Callithrix jacchus: one gene and its partner. The main gene of each other region encodes a partner of the protein of the gene in region 2 in a complex. Links are inferred from orthologs where the notes say so. Each region holds a gene or a part of one and is shown on either strand. Other genes may lie near its edges.

The links.
Region 1: the proteins of CRHR2 (region 2) and GNA11 are in contact, whole or in part, in a cryo-EM structure (PDB 7TRY), measured with the Homo sapiens proteins. The link is inferred for Callithrix jacchus from reciprocal best matches to the Homo sapiens genes CRHR2 and GNA11. Residues at the interface, in NP_001874.2 of Homo sapiens: Arg148, Tyr208, Leu209, Ala212, Ile213, Thr216, Glu220, Lys293, Lys307, Ala311, Phe358, Tyr359, Phe362, Asn363; in NP_002058.2 of Homo sapiens: Arg37, Ile348, Leu349, Asn352, Leu353, Glu355, Tyr356, Asn357, Leu358.

The regions. Positions count from the first base shown.
Region 1 is NC_133523.1:2,863,319-2,869,192, reverse strand, and holds the start of GNA11 (guanine nucleotide-binding protein subunit alpha-11), read right to left. Parts: upstream 3,731-5,874; 5' UTR 3,423-3,730; coding exon 3,287-3,422; intron 1,466-3,286; exon of another isoform or gene 1,286-1,465; coding exon of another isoform or gene 1,243-1,285; intron 255-1,242; exon of another isoform or gene 1-254. UniProt on the Homo sapiens protein: Guanine nucleotide-binding proteins (G proteins) function as transducers downstream of G protein-coupled receptors (GPCRs) in numerous signaling cascades.
Region 2 is NC_133512.1:27,553,398-27,559,182, reverse strand, and holds the start of CRHR2 (corticotropin-releasing factor receptor 2), read right to left. Parts: upstream 4,032-5,785; 5' UTR 3,958-4,031; coding exon 3,871-3,957; intron 1-3,870. UniProt on the Homo sapiens protein: G-protein coupled receptor for CRH (corticotropin-releasing factor), UCN (urocortin), UCN2 and UCN3. Has high affinity for UCN.

The DNA of each region.
Region 1 (5,874 bases), on a different chromosome or scaffold from region 2:
TTAGATTGCGCCACTGCACTCAGGCTTAGGTAACAGAGTGAGACTCTGTCTCAAAAAAAAAAAAAACTCTCTAAGCACTCATGAAAACTTCTAAGAAAATTATTTGCGCCGATTATCCCTCAGCTTTGCCACGAGCATCTTACGTTGTACGCTACCACTCGGCAGAGTCTCAACCGGGGCAATGTGCGCCCCAGGGACGATCAGCCCCGTCTGGAGACATCATGGTTATCATGACTTCGGGGAGCTCCTGGCACAGAGTGGGTGGTGACCTGGGATGCTGATCAGCGCCCTGCGGTGCCCAGGGCAGCCCCACCCCACTGTGCACAGGGCCGTGGGAGACCTGCTGTGTGTAACGGAGAGGCCGTCGGAGGCGTGGACAGCACATGGGAACCAGTGCGGGAGAGGAGGCACGGCTGCTAGAGCCCCGTCCAGCTCCAGGGCTCCAGACGGTCCCTCCACACCCAGAAATAGGGCATGGAAAGTCCTCACAGGCCGTGTGCAGCCCCGTAAGGCAGCTGACGAGAGCTCGTGGACACCTCGCTCTTGCAGAACACGCTCCTCCTGGTTGCAAACCCAGGCATCAGGCAGGACCCTAGAGCCCTGCGGGCCCGAGCCTGGAAGGAACCAGCACCACCCACACACACGAGACCCTCCCGGGGCCCAGATGCCACAGGGTGGCAGGCCCCTGCCTCCCCAACATCCACTCCACAGCGCAGCACCGGAGCCACCCGGGAGAAGGAGGGCTGGAGCCCCACCACAAAGGGGCAGGGGAGGAAAGAATTCCAGGGAGAAGCAGGCCCGGCTGGGCTTGGCCTCCTGCACAGCGCCAGGACCTCCGCCCAAAGGTCTCAACATTCTGTGGGGCGCGGGCGCCATAACCACCTGCTGCGGCCCAACAGCCCTTCCTCCCGGGGAGCCTCGGCCTCACCCTCCAGCTGCTCCCTAAAAAACGGGGCAATTGCAAGCTCGGGGCTGGCGCACTGCGAAAGTGGAGTGAGTTCCCACAGGCAGGCGGGGAGCCTGGCAGAGATCCTCTCCCCTGTACCCGGACCCCAGCCCCACGACATCTGGTGGTCAAAGCCCTCGAAGCCAGGGACTCTCCGGCTGGGATGCAAGGTGGCTTGGATAGGAGTTTCCTGAGGGTCCTCACAGCAGATTCCCAAAGGGCTTCCTGGCCCCACCACGTCAGGTGTGAAGTCTTCCCAACCCCCGGCAGCCCCCGGCCCTCTGCTTGGCACTGACACCTGTCCTTCCTGGGTTGCATGTGAGCTCCCGTCTTCCTCATTGTCCTATCTGCCCCGCCTGGCCTGAGCCTGACAGCAACCTCCCATCTTACAGGCTGATGGGCTCAACTTCCAGGCTCACACAGAGGGGTGGGACGGCGGACATCCCCTGGGCCACAGGTGGGCACCGGACAGAGGATGCAAGATGGGTCCCATTACTCCCAGACTCGCTCCAGGTAGCCAAGGCTGCAGACGTGGGGGCCCCTGACCTTCGTCCTTGAACCTGGTGTCAATCTCAAGTCCAAAGTGCAGGCACAGAAGCCTGGGTGCAGCGGGAAAGGCAGCGGGGGTTCTGGAGGTCACAGAGCCACAGGGCAAGGCCGTCTGGTAAGATCTTTATGACACCAGCAATTCCTAACTCCCCTCCATCTACACAAAGTCCACGACCCACGGCAAAAGCCAGCCAGTGCCACTCTGTCCAAAGTGCCACCATGCAGGCCCCCTGCACACTTCCTCCAAGCATTAGGGACACGGCTCTGCCTACCTGAATCCCCTGGAAAGATGGCCCATTTTAGAACCCTTAGGTAAATCAAAACACAAGTTTGGGGGGGAAAAAATCAGGAAGGTATTTCATTCAAGGCACCTCTCTAACGGGGGACATCGGAGGGTCACGGCAGGAGAGGCAGTCTGCTCCCCGAGAAACAAGTGACCTGTCTCCTTCCTGGAGGGCCCCCTCCTCCTCCATCACCGCTGCTTCTGCATGCATTTCAGACCTTCCCCACCACCCCTCCCGCTCAGGAGCTAACCTAGGAGCTCAGGAGGGCGAGGGTGGGGCCGGGCAAGGGCTATGTTTTGTAAACGACTGCAAGGGCCCTTATTTTGGGTGACAACACTTTACAGCTGGCCTGATTGGCTTCCTGCAGCAGGTGTGCCTTGGGGAGAAGGAGGCACAAGGCGTAAATCCTATCCGGGAAGGTGGGGAGGAGCCGGGATGTAGGGGGCTGCTCCCCACTAGGGCTGCACGTGGCTCCCACCAAGACTCTAAGGAAGGGGGCGGGGGAGGCTGCCGAGGTGGCTGCTTCTGACAAGTCGCAAAGGCTCCCTCAGGTGTCAACCGCCCCACCCTCGGCTGAGCAGAACCCTGAGGAGAGGAAAGACGGTCTTGTTCCCACAGGGCGGATTCCAGCCTAGAGGAGGATGGGATTTCCCGGAGTAGGAAGGCAGGAGGACAGCCCCTAAGGGAATGGGGGATAGGGGCGCGGAGGAGTCTTCGAGGGGGTGGACGGGACCTGCATGGAGGGATCAGGGCTCTGCCTGGTGGGAAGGGTCAACGCGGGACCCTGGGAGGTGAAGGTGGATGAGACCAGTGGGTGACATCCCAAAGCTCTGGCCCTGAGATGCTGGGGGGGCGGGGGTAGCGAGGGGTGGGTAGTCGGCGAGGTAAGATCAGAGAGCTCCTGTGCAGCAAGGGGACTGGTCTCTTGAAAAGGGGCAGAGGGCAAATCCTGAAGGGTCCTGCCCAACGTGGACGGCAAACTGGGAGCTGACCTGGGAGGGATGGGGACCTGATCCCGACATGACAGACAGGGCAGACCCCCCCCCCAAGGTCCCTGCTGCCAACAGGAACGGTGAAGGCACAAAGGAGCGGACCACAAACAATCTGGGCCCCCGAGGCTGACCCCGGAGGGTCCCAGCTGCCGACCTAGACAGCAAAAGCAGGGCTGACCCCGGGAGGGTCCCGGACGGCACAGGCAGGGCTGACCCCGGAGGGTCCCGGACGGCACAGGCAGGGCTGACCCCGGAGGGTCCCGGACGGCACAGGCAGGGCTGACCCCGGAGGGTCCCGGACGGCACAGGCAGGGCTGACCCCGGAGGGTCCCGGACGGCACAGGCAGGGCTGACCCCGGAGGGTCCCGGACGGCACAGGCAGGGCTGACCCCGGAGGGTCCCGGACGGCACAGGCAGGGCTGACCCCGGAGGGTCCCGGACGGCACAGGCAGGGCTGACCCCGGAGGGTCCCGGACGGCACAGGCAGGGCAGGGCAGGCCCGACGCCCCACTCACCGAGGAGCAGCAGCTTGAGCTCGCGCCGGGCGTCGCGCTTGTCCCGCCGCAGCTGCTTCTCGATCTCCGCGTTGATCCGCTTGGACTCCTTCACCTCGTCGCTCAGACAACACGCCATCATGGACTCCAGAGTCATCGTCCCGGCCCCGGCCGCCGCGGCCGCCTGCCCGCCGCCGCCCCCCGGCCCCCAGGCCCCCGGCCCGGCCCTGGCCGGAGCCGCCTCGGCCGCCGTCCGCCTCGGCCCCGCGGCCTCGGCCTCGGCCCCCGGCCCTCCGCCCCGGGCCGGCCCGCCCCGCCTCGCCTCGGCCGCTGCCTGCGAGCTGCCGGGTCCCCGCTCGGGCCGCGCCAGACGCGGACTCCCGCGCGGCCGCACTTAGCCCGCGCCGCCGCCGCAGCCACCGCCAACCGCAGTCGCCGCAACCGAGCGACAGCGCCGGACAACCTAGCAGGCTGGGAGCGCAGCCCGTGACGGGCAGGCGCTGCGGCCAATGGGAGGGGCCGGCGGCCAAGCGCGCCCACCGCTGGGGCGGGAATAACGGCCTGGGCGGGGCGTCAGCGGGCGCGAAAGGGGCGGGGCGGGGCGAGGGCGGGGGGCCCGCGGGTTTGGTTGCGCCGACGTGGGAAGGGGGGACGCGCAGCCGGGAGCCGGGGCGGGGCCGCCCGGGATTGTGGGAATGTGGCGGACTCAGCCGGCCAGGCTCGGCTCTGTTCGGCTCCGTTCGGTCCCGTTCGGCCCCGCTCGGCTCGGCTCGCTCGGTCCAGGCCGGGAAGGAGAGAGGTGCAAGCGGTTGCCGCGCTCTCTGGGTCTCTAGGTTCCTGGGCAGCCGTCGCTGCCCCCGGGAAGCGCCCTCACATTGCCTAACAGGAACCTTCTCTCATCCGTTAAAAAGCGTCAGTGGGGCCGGGCGCGGTGGCTCACGCCTGTAATCCCAGCACTTTGGGAGGCCGAGGTGGGCAGATCACGAGGTCAAGAGATCGAGACCAGCCTGGCCAACATGGTGAAACCCCGTCTCTACCAAAAAAATACAGAAATTCGCTGGGCGTGGTGGTGCTCACCTGTAGTCCCAGCTACTCGGGAGGCTGAGGCAGGAGAACTGCTTGAGCCCGGGAGGCGGAGGCTGCAGTGAGCCGAGATGGCGCCACAGCACTGCAGCCTGGTGCCTGGAGACAGAGCAAGACTCTGTCTCAAAAAAAAAAAAAAAAATTGTTAGTGGGGCACTACTGTGTATCAGGCATTAATGGGATGCCTTCTATATACCGGGCATGGACTAAAAATTAATGGAGCAACAGACACAACCCAGGCATAAATGCAGCACCTGCTTTTACCGTACAGGGTACCAGCATTCATGGAGTGCCTACTGTATACGATGTATGAGCCAGATATGAATGAGGTGCCTGGCATATAGCACATGACCACCCGGGAGGGTCCCAGGTACCAATGTGAACAGCACAGGCGGGGGGACTGACCCCAGAGGGATCCAGGGCACCAGCATTCATGCAGTGCCTACTGTATGCCAGGTATGAACCCGGCATTAATGCAGTGCCTGCTATGTACTAGACACGGACCAAGTATTAATGCAGCACCTGCTGTAGGTCATCCAGGGCACAAGTAATAGTGGAGTTCCTACTGTATATGAGGTATGAGCCAGGCATCAATGCAGCAACTGCTGTGTACCACACAGGGCACAATCATTAGCAACAGAGTACCTACTGTAAGACAGGTATAAATCGGGCATTCCAGCACAGGCACAAGCATTAATGGAATGCCTACTGTATACACCAGGCACTGTTGTAAGCCCGTTAAACTAACTCTACTCAGGGGATTTTTTTTTTTTTTTTTTTTTTGAGATGGACTCTTGCCCTGTCACCCAAGCTGGAGTGCAGGGGGCATGATCTCGGCTCACTGCATCCTCCACCTCCCAGGTTCAAGTGATTCTCCTGCCTCAGCCTCCTGAGTAGCTGGGATTACAGGCATGTGCCACCATACCCTGCTAATTTGTATATTTTTGCTAGAGATGGGGTTTCGCCATGTTGGCCAGGCTGCTCTCGAGCTCCTGACCTCAGGTGATCCACCGCTTCAGCCTCCCAAAGTGCTGGAATTACAGGTGTGAGTCACTGCACCCAACCTAATTTTTATATATATATATATATAAAGATGGGGTTTCACCATGATGGCCAGGCTGGTCTTGAACTCCTGACCTCAGGTGATCCACCCACCTTGGCCTCCCAAAGTGCTAGGACTGCAGGTGTGAGCCACAGCGCCCAGCCAATTTTTTATATTTATAATGGAGACAGGGTTTCCCCATTTTGGCCAGGCTGATCTCTAACTCCTGGCCTCGAGTGATCCTCCCACCTTGACCTCCCGCAGTGCTGGGATTACAGACATGAGCCACCGCGCCTGGCCACGTCTTCATCCTTATTTTTTGCAGGTGAAATGGAAGTGACCACCGGAATTTGTAAAGACAAGTGTGTTCCGACCACCTTGCTGACTACGGGAAACGCTTTTCTCTCTCTGGCATCCTTGGCAAACCTCTGGGTATCCTCTTCGTTTTGGTTCAAACATCAGCTCCTCAGGGAGACTTCTCCTG
Region 2 (5,785 bases):
AAGCTAAAAATAAGTGAGGTGCGTCAGTGCCCATAATAGGTCCTGTAGGGCTGCCAAGTAAAATCAGATATGTTTATTGAATAATCCACCCCCCATGGGTTTGCAATGACTCTTTAAAAATTAGAATTTTGAGAAAGACAGACATCACATGTTATCATTTATTTGTGGGATTTAAAATTCAACACAACTGATCTCATGGAGATAGAGAGTAGAAGAATGGTTAGCAGAGGCTGGGAATGGTAGGAGGGGATGTGTGGGGGGGGGAAGGGTTAATGGGTACCACAAAAATGAATAGAATGAATACGATGTGGTAAGTCATAGTACAATAGGGTGACTGGAGTCAGTAATTTAACTGTATATTTAAAAATAACCAAAAGTATAATTAGATTGTAACACAAAGGATAAATTCTTGAGGGGGATGGATACCCCGTTTTACATGACATGATTTTTACACATTGCATGCCTGTATAAAAATATCTCATGTACCCCATGAATACATACACCTTCTATGTACCCACAAAAATTAAAAATAAAAAGGCTGGGCGCAGTGGCTCATGCTTGTAATCTCAGCACTTTGGGAGACCGAGGCAAGTGGATCACGAGGTCAGGAGAATATCCTGGCCAACATGGTGAAAGCCTGTATCTACTAGAAATACAAAAATATTAGCTGGGTGTGGTGGTGTGTGCCTGTAGTCCCAGCTACTCAGGAGGCTTAGGCAGGAGAATCGCTTGAACCCGGGATGCAGAGGTTGCAGTGAGCTGAGATTGTGCCATTGCACTCCAGCCTGGGGGTGACAGAGTGAGACTCTGTCTCAAAAAAAAAAAAAAAATTAAAATTTAAAAAGTTAGAATTTTGGAAGAAGTGATTGTGACTGGCTAAGGAATCCTTAAAATGGTTTAAATTAAATAAAGTAGAATATGATAGCTAGGAAGCTAAAGAGTAGTCCAATAATTCGTAATACCAAATTAAGTAGCCATTGCCCTCAGACAGATTTTTTTTTTTTTTTTTTTAATACTGAAACACCAACAAAATGGCAAAAACAGAGACTAAATTAGCTGGTAGGGCTAGAAAACACTCAGAAGGGAGTTGAATTTTTGGGAAAAGTCATTCAGTGAATTAGCTGCTGGCAAATGGTCCTGGAGCCCCTGCCCTGCAGACCCTCAGTGTGGGTGTGTTAGGGGGCAGGGTAGCCTTGGTCTTTGGGATGGGCCGGACAGGTCAGGGAGGGTCCAGGGACCGCTAGGGACTTCTCTGTGTTCTATTATCTTTGCTGAGCCTTGTTGGGGCAGATGGCCCTACCAGAAGCCAGGACCTGGGGCAAGAGGTCACAGAGGTACATTCCTGAGACCCTGGGGGATGGTGTCTCCCTGTCCAAAGCTCCAAGGAGCTGGACTCAGCCAGGAGGGGCTGAGAGGCTCCTGGGATCTTCACAGAAGGGGAGGCAAGTGGCATTGCTGAGCCTCTCTAAACTCTGTTTCCAGTCTGTGAATAAGTGACCCCATCTTCCCTGTGTTTGAGTAAGGTGTCTAATACCACTTAACAGCTGCAAGATTACTGCCTGCCTCCAGAGCATCTTCCCGAAGGCCTCCACGGGGAACTGGGAGCACTGGGGTCAAGGCTGGGTGGGCTCCTCCAGCTCTCAGTGTGCCCTGGGCCCCAGCATCCTCCTCACTCAAAAGCACCAGCTGGAACCCTTGCAATTGCAGAAAAGACCAGTCCCCTCCCTTGCACAGAGAGCTCCCCATGAACTCAGATCCCGGTACAGCTCTGCAGTCTCCCACAGATGTCTTCTCAGAGTTGGGGCCCTGGGGCCTTCCCCCTTCTCTGCACCTGCTCTCCCCCATTCCTTCCCTTGAATTACTGATCCCCATCCCCGCAATGCTGCCCACCTCCCACCAGACTCCCCCCATCCTGTCAAGGGCTCTCACACCTACACATACTTCTTCTGGGCCCATTTACTGAAACTTGTGAACATAGACTCCTTCCTTTCCTACCAGGCCCCCTTCTGGGCTATAAACTCCACAAGAGCAGGAGCTAGATTGGCGTTCAGACTCTGGGTCCTCCCCGTGGTCAATCTTCCTTAAACACTGGATGAATAACTGAGAAGCTGGGCCCTCCTGGGCTGCCTTCCCTCCCTACTGCCTGCTTTGGGTCCCAGAGTCTCAGGACCCAGGAAAAAGTCCCATTGCCATGAAGGCTCAGCGAGAGGAAGGCTGGGCTTTGGCATCAGAAAGACCGAGGTTTAGTGCTTTCCAGCTGGGTACATGCTGAGGGGCTGTGGGCAAGTAACTGGTCTCTATCGAATCCGGGATCCTTGGGAGAGCTAGGGGTAGGGCCAGGGATGACCCTGAGGGAAGCTGAGCCCATGGTGTTGCCGTGAGGATCCCAGGGCACCTCTGGAGCAGCCAGCAGAAGCTTCCTGCATCCAACCACCTTGGGTGGCTGGGCAGCGTGGCTCCCAGAGGGATGGCTTGAGGGACAACCCTTGCCCCAACACTCGGATCTCCTGGAAGGCACCTATCTAGAGAACAAGTGGGAGAGGGCAAGAGAGCTCAAAGCCCAGGACATCTTGCGGAGTGGATGGTAAACCCCCGTGCAACCTTCACCCATCCCAATTGCAGTCTGCAACATGAAAAGGCTCAGCAGGTCTAGGGGCCATGTTCCTATCAGACACTGACCGCAGCTCAGCATGGGACCTGCCTCCCACCTCTCTCCTCCACCTGGCCTGGCCCCCAGGAGGGTGGGGACCCTTGTGTCATCATGCTCTATCTGTGGTGCCTGGCACGAAAGCATAGCTGGCATTCACTGTGTGCTCGCACCACATCAAGCGCATGATGCTGAGTGCTTGTATTACCTCAGCGCTCCTCACAGCAACCTGTTCAGTAAGCACCGATGTCATCCTCATTTTACTGATGAGGAAACTGAGGATTCGAGTAACCTGTCCAAGGTCACACATTAAGCAGCAAAGCAGGGATTTGGATCAGTTTTCTTGGCAAATATCTGTCAAAAGACTGTTGAATGAAGTATTCTCTTTATGCATATAGGGACACTAAGCTCCAGAAAATGGTCCCCAAGGCTGCTCTGTAGTGGAGTCAGAACAGGGACAGGCCTCTTAGCTTCCACTCTGGCTCCCTTCCTCAAATTGTGAGGCCTAAGACAGGTCACCCTCCCACTCTGAGCCTCTGTTTCCCCATCTGTAAAATGGGCAGAGGGCTGAAGGTGGACCATTCCCACCAACCTCTCCCCTACTTCTTCAGCTCTCTCTTGGTAGCCACTCTGCATCCCTTCACCCCACCTCCCATTGGTGGACCCTGACTCTGGGCAAAGGCCCATGGTGTGGCTGGCTGAAGCTCAGTCTTGAGAAACCCTTGGAGAGGCTGGTTCTCCCAGAAACCGCTTGGCCCTCATGGCTCGTCTGGTACTGGGGGCTGCCTGATTTCAGGCACTGAGAGGAGGGGTGGAGACAGGGCAGCAGGCGCAGAAGGCAGCTCTCTGTGGGTCCCTCGGGGGAAGGGTCAGAACTAAGGGTGGGCTGGGGAAAGAAGTCAAGGAACCTGCAGGAGAGATGGAGGGGGGATCGTGGGGGAGGGGAGAGAAAGGACAGGAGACAGGGAGCTTCTGGCCCTGAGGTAGCCAAGTTCTGGACGCTAGGGTGTCACCCCAGAACCCTCCGCTTACCCACAGCGGTCTCCTGGTCTCATCCTGGCTGGCCTCACAGTTTCATCTTCCCTTCCCCTGCCCCCTCACCCAGGCATGGGATCCCCAATCCAGTCCAGCCACCAGGCCCTGAGACCCCTGCCCCCAGTCCTGAGTGCTGGGGGCTCGTGCTCCTGGCACCCACCTTGTGGACTCCCACTCCCTGCACTTACTTGGAGCAGCGGTGGGAGGAGGCAGAGCAGGCAGAGGAGGAGGTGTGGGACATGGAGGAGGCCTGGAGGCTCTGAGGGACCCCTCATGCCAGTAGCGGCTGGGGGTTAGGGATGGAGCCCGCTACCCGCAGCAGTGGCCACACCCCGGCCAGCCCCGCCCCACCCAGCCCTGAGGGGAGGCCAAGGTAAGGCCCTGGACACGAGGGGGTATTCTCCACCCACCTCTCCCACAGGGCCGCGATGACCCCGCCCCACAACCCATAGCCTCCAGGTTATTTATAGCCAGTGCCCGACAGCAGCTGCTACCCTGCCAGCCAAGGGGCAGTGCGCTTCCTCCAGCCTGCAGAGAAGGGGTTAATCCCTTCCACCTGCCACCAGCAGTGCTCGGGGCTGTAGCTCCCCAGGTGGGAGACAGCAATTGAGAAAGGGAAGAGTGGGTCCCAGGCGGTGGTCCCTGCTTGAGCACGGCGCTGAGCCCGCACTGCCTAGCCCTTACCTGGGGAGCTTTTATCAGGGGTTAATGTCCACTGGGAGGACTCAGCCAGGAATGTGGATGCTGGGGTATATAGTAGCACTGTGTCAATGCTACAGCTGCCCATTCTGTTGTGGGTGGGCGAGACAATGCTCTTGTTTTTGGAAAATATGCATTTAGGATTAAAGGGGCACCATGTTTCTAACGTATTTTCAAATGGTTCAGAAACACACTCACATAGATAGATATATGGATAGAACAAGAGAGCAGATGGGGCAATATGTAAGTTGTTGGTAAATCTGGAAAAGGGGTATATGGATATGTTTTGGATCCTTCTAACTTTTCTATATGTTTGAAATTATATCAAAATAAAATTCTTAAAACAACAACAAAAAAACCCCCAAACCAACAGCAAATACAGCTGTGGCAGGGATCACCCAGAGATTCAGATGATGTAGCTTGGGATGGGGCCTGGGTGTCTGGGTGTTTCAGGAAATGGCTAGGGATCCTGATGTCAGGTGAGTGAGCAGTGCTGTTCTCAGGGGGACAGGTCCAGCCTGGGGCTGGGTAGGGCTCACGAGCTGTTCCTGTCAGGTGGGTCTGGTGCAGGGGGTTTAAAAGCTTAAGCTGCGGTTGCACCTCCCTTGTTGTTAGGATCTGAGGGGAAAGCATGTGAGGAATGTGATTAGGGGGGCACCAAGCTTTCTCTCGGAGGTGCAGGCAGTGTGAGGAGAGACCTTGGCAAACTCAGTCCCAATTTAAGTAATTCAGACGCTCTGTGCTCCTGGTCTCCCTGTCTGAGACACTGGACACTTTTCTCTCCTTCAGTGCCCCCTCCCTATCCCCAATGCCTTCCTCCAGGCAGCCTTCCTGGCTGTTCCAGCTCCTGCCTCCCTCTCCTGTGAAATCTCGCAGGTCTGAGTCTGAAGTCCTGCCTCTCACTGGTGTGGACTGTTCTCTAAGCTCGGCGAGGATGAGGTTGAGTGTGGATTTGCCCCAACCTTCCCCTCCTCATTTTCTCTTCCCCCTTCCCTCCTCTTTTGTACAGAGCTTAGTCTCAATGGTACAGAAAAATCTTTATGGGAAAAGTGGAGGAAGAATTGACCATATTTCCCAATTATTTGAAGGTGGCAGGATGAAAGTGCCATCCCAAGTTCTAGAGCAGGATTTGGCTTTCCTGGACCCAGCCAGATGGGCTTGGTCAGAGATTGCTCCTTATAGAAAGTGGATATTTCCTATAAAACACCATAAGGTCAGCAGGACTCTGAGGGCTAGGCAGACTCTGAGGGCTAGGAGGACTCTGAGGGCTAGGCAGACTCTGAAAGACGGCTGGGACAGTTCCACTCAGCAGCCTTCAGCTGGAGGTCTCCAGGGACCAGCCTTACAGCAGGCACTGAGAGCAGAGGCCAGCCTTAGAGTGTGCAGGCGGGCATGGGAAGAAGT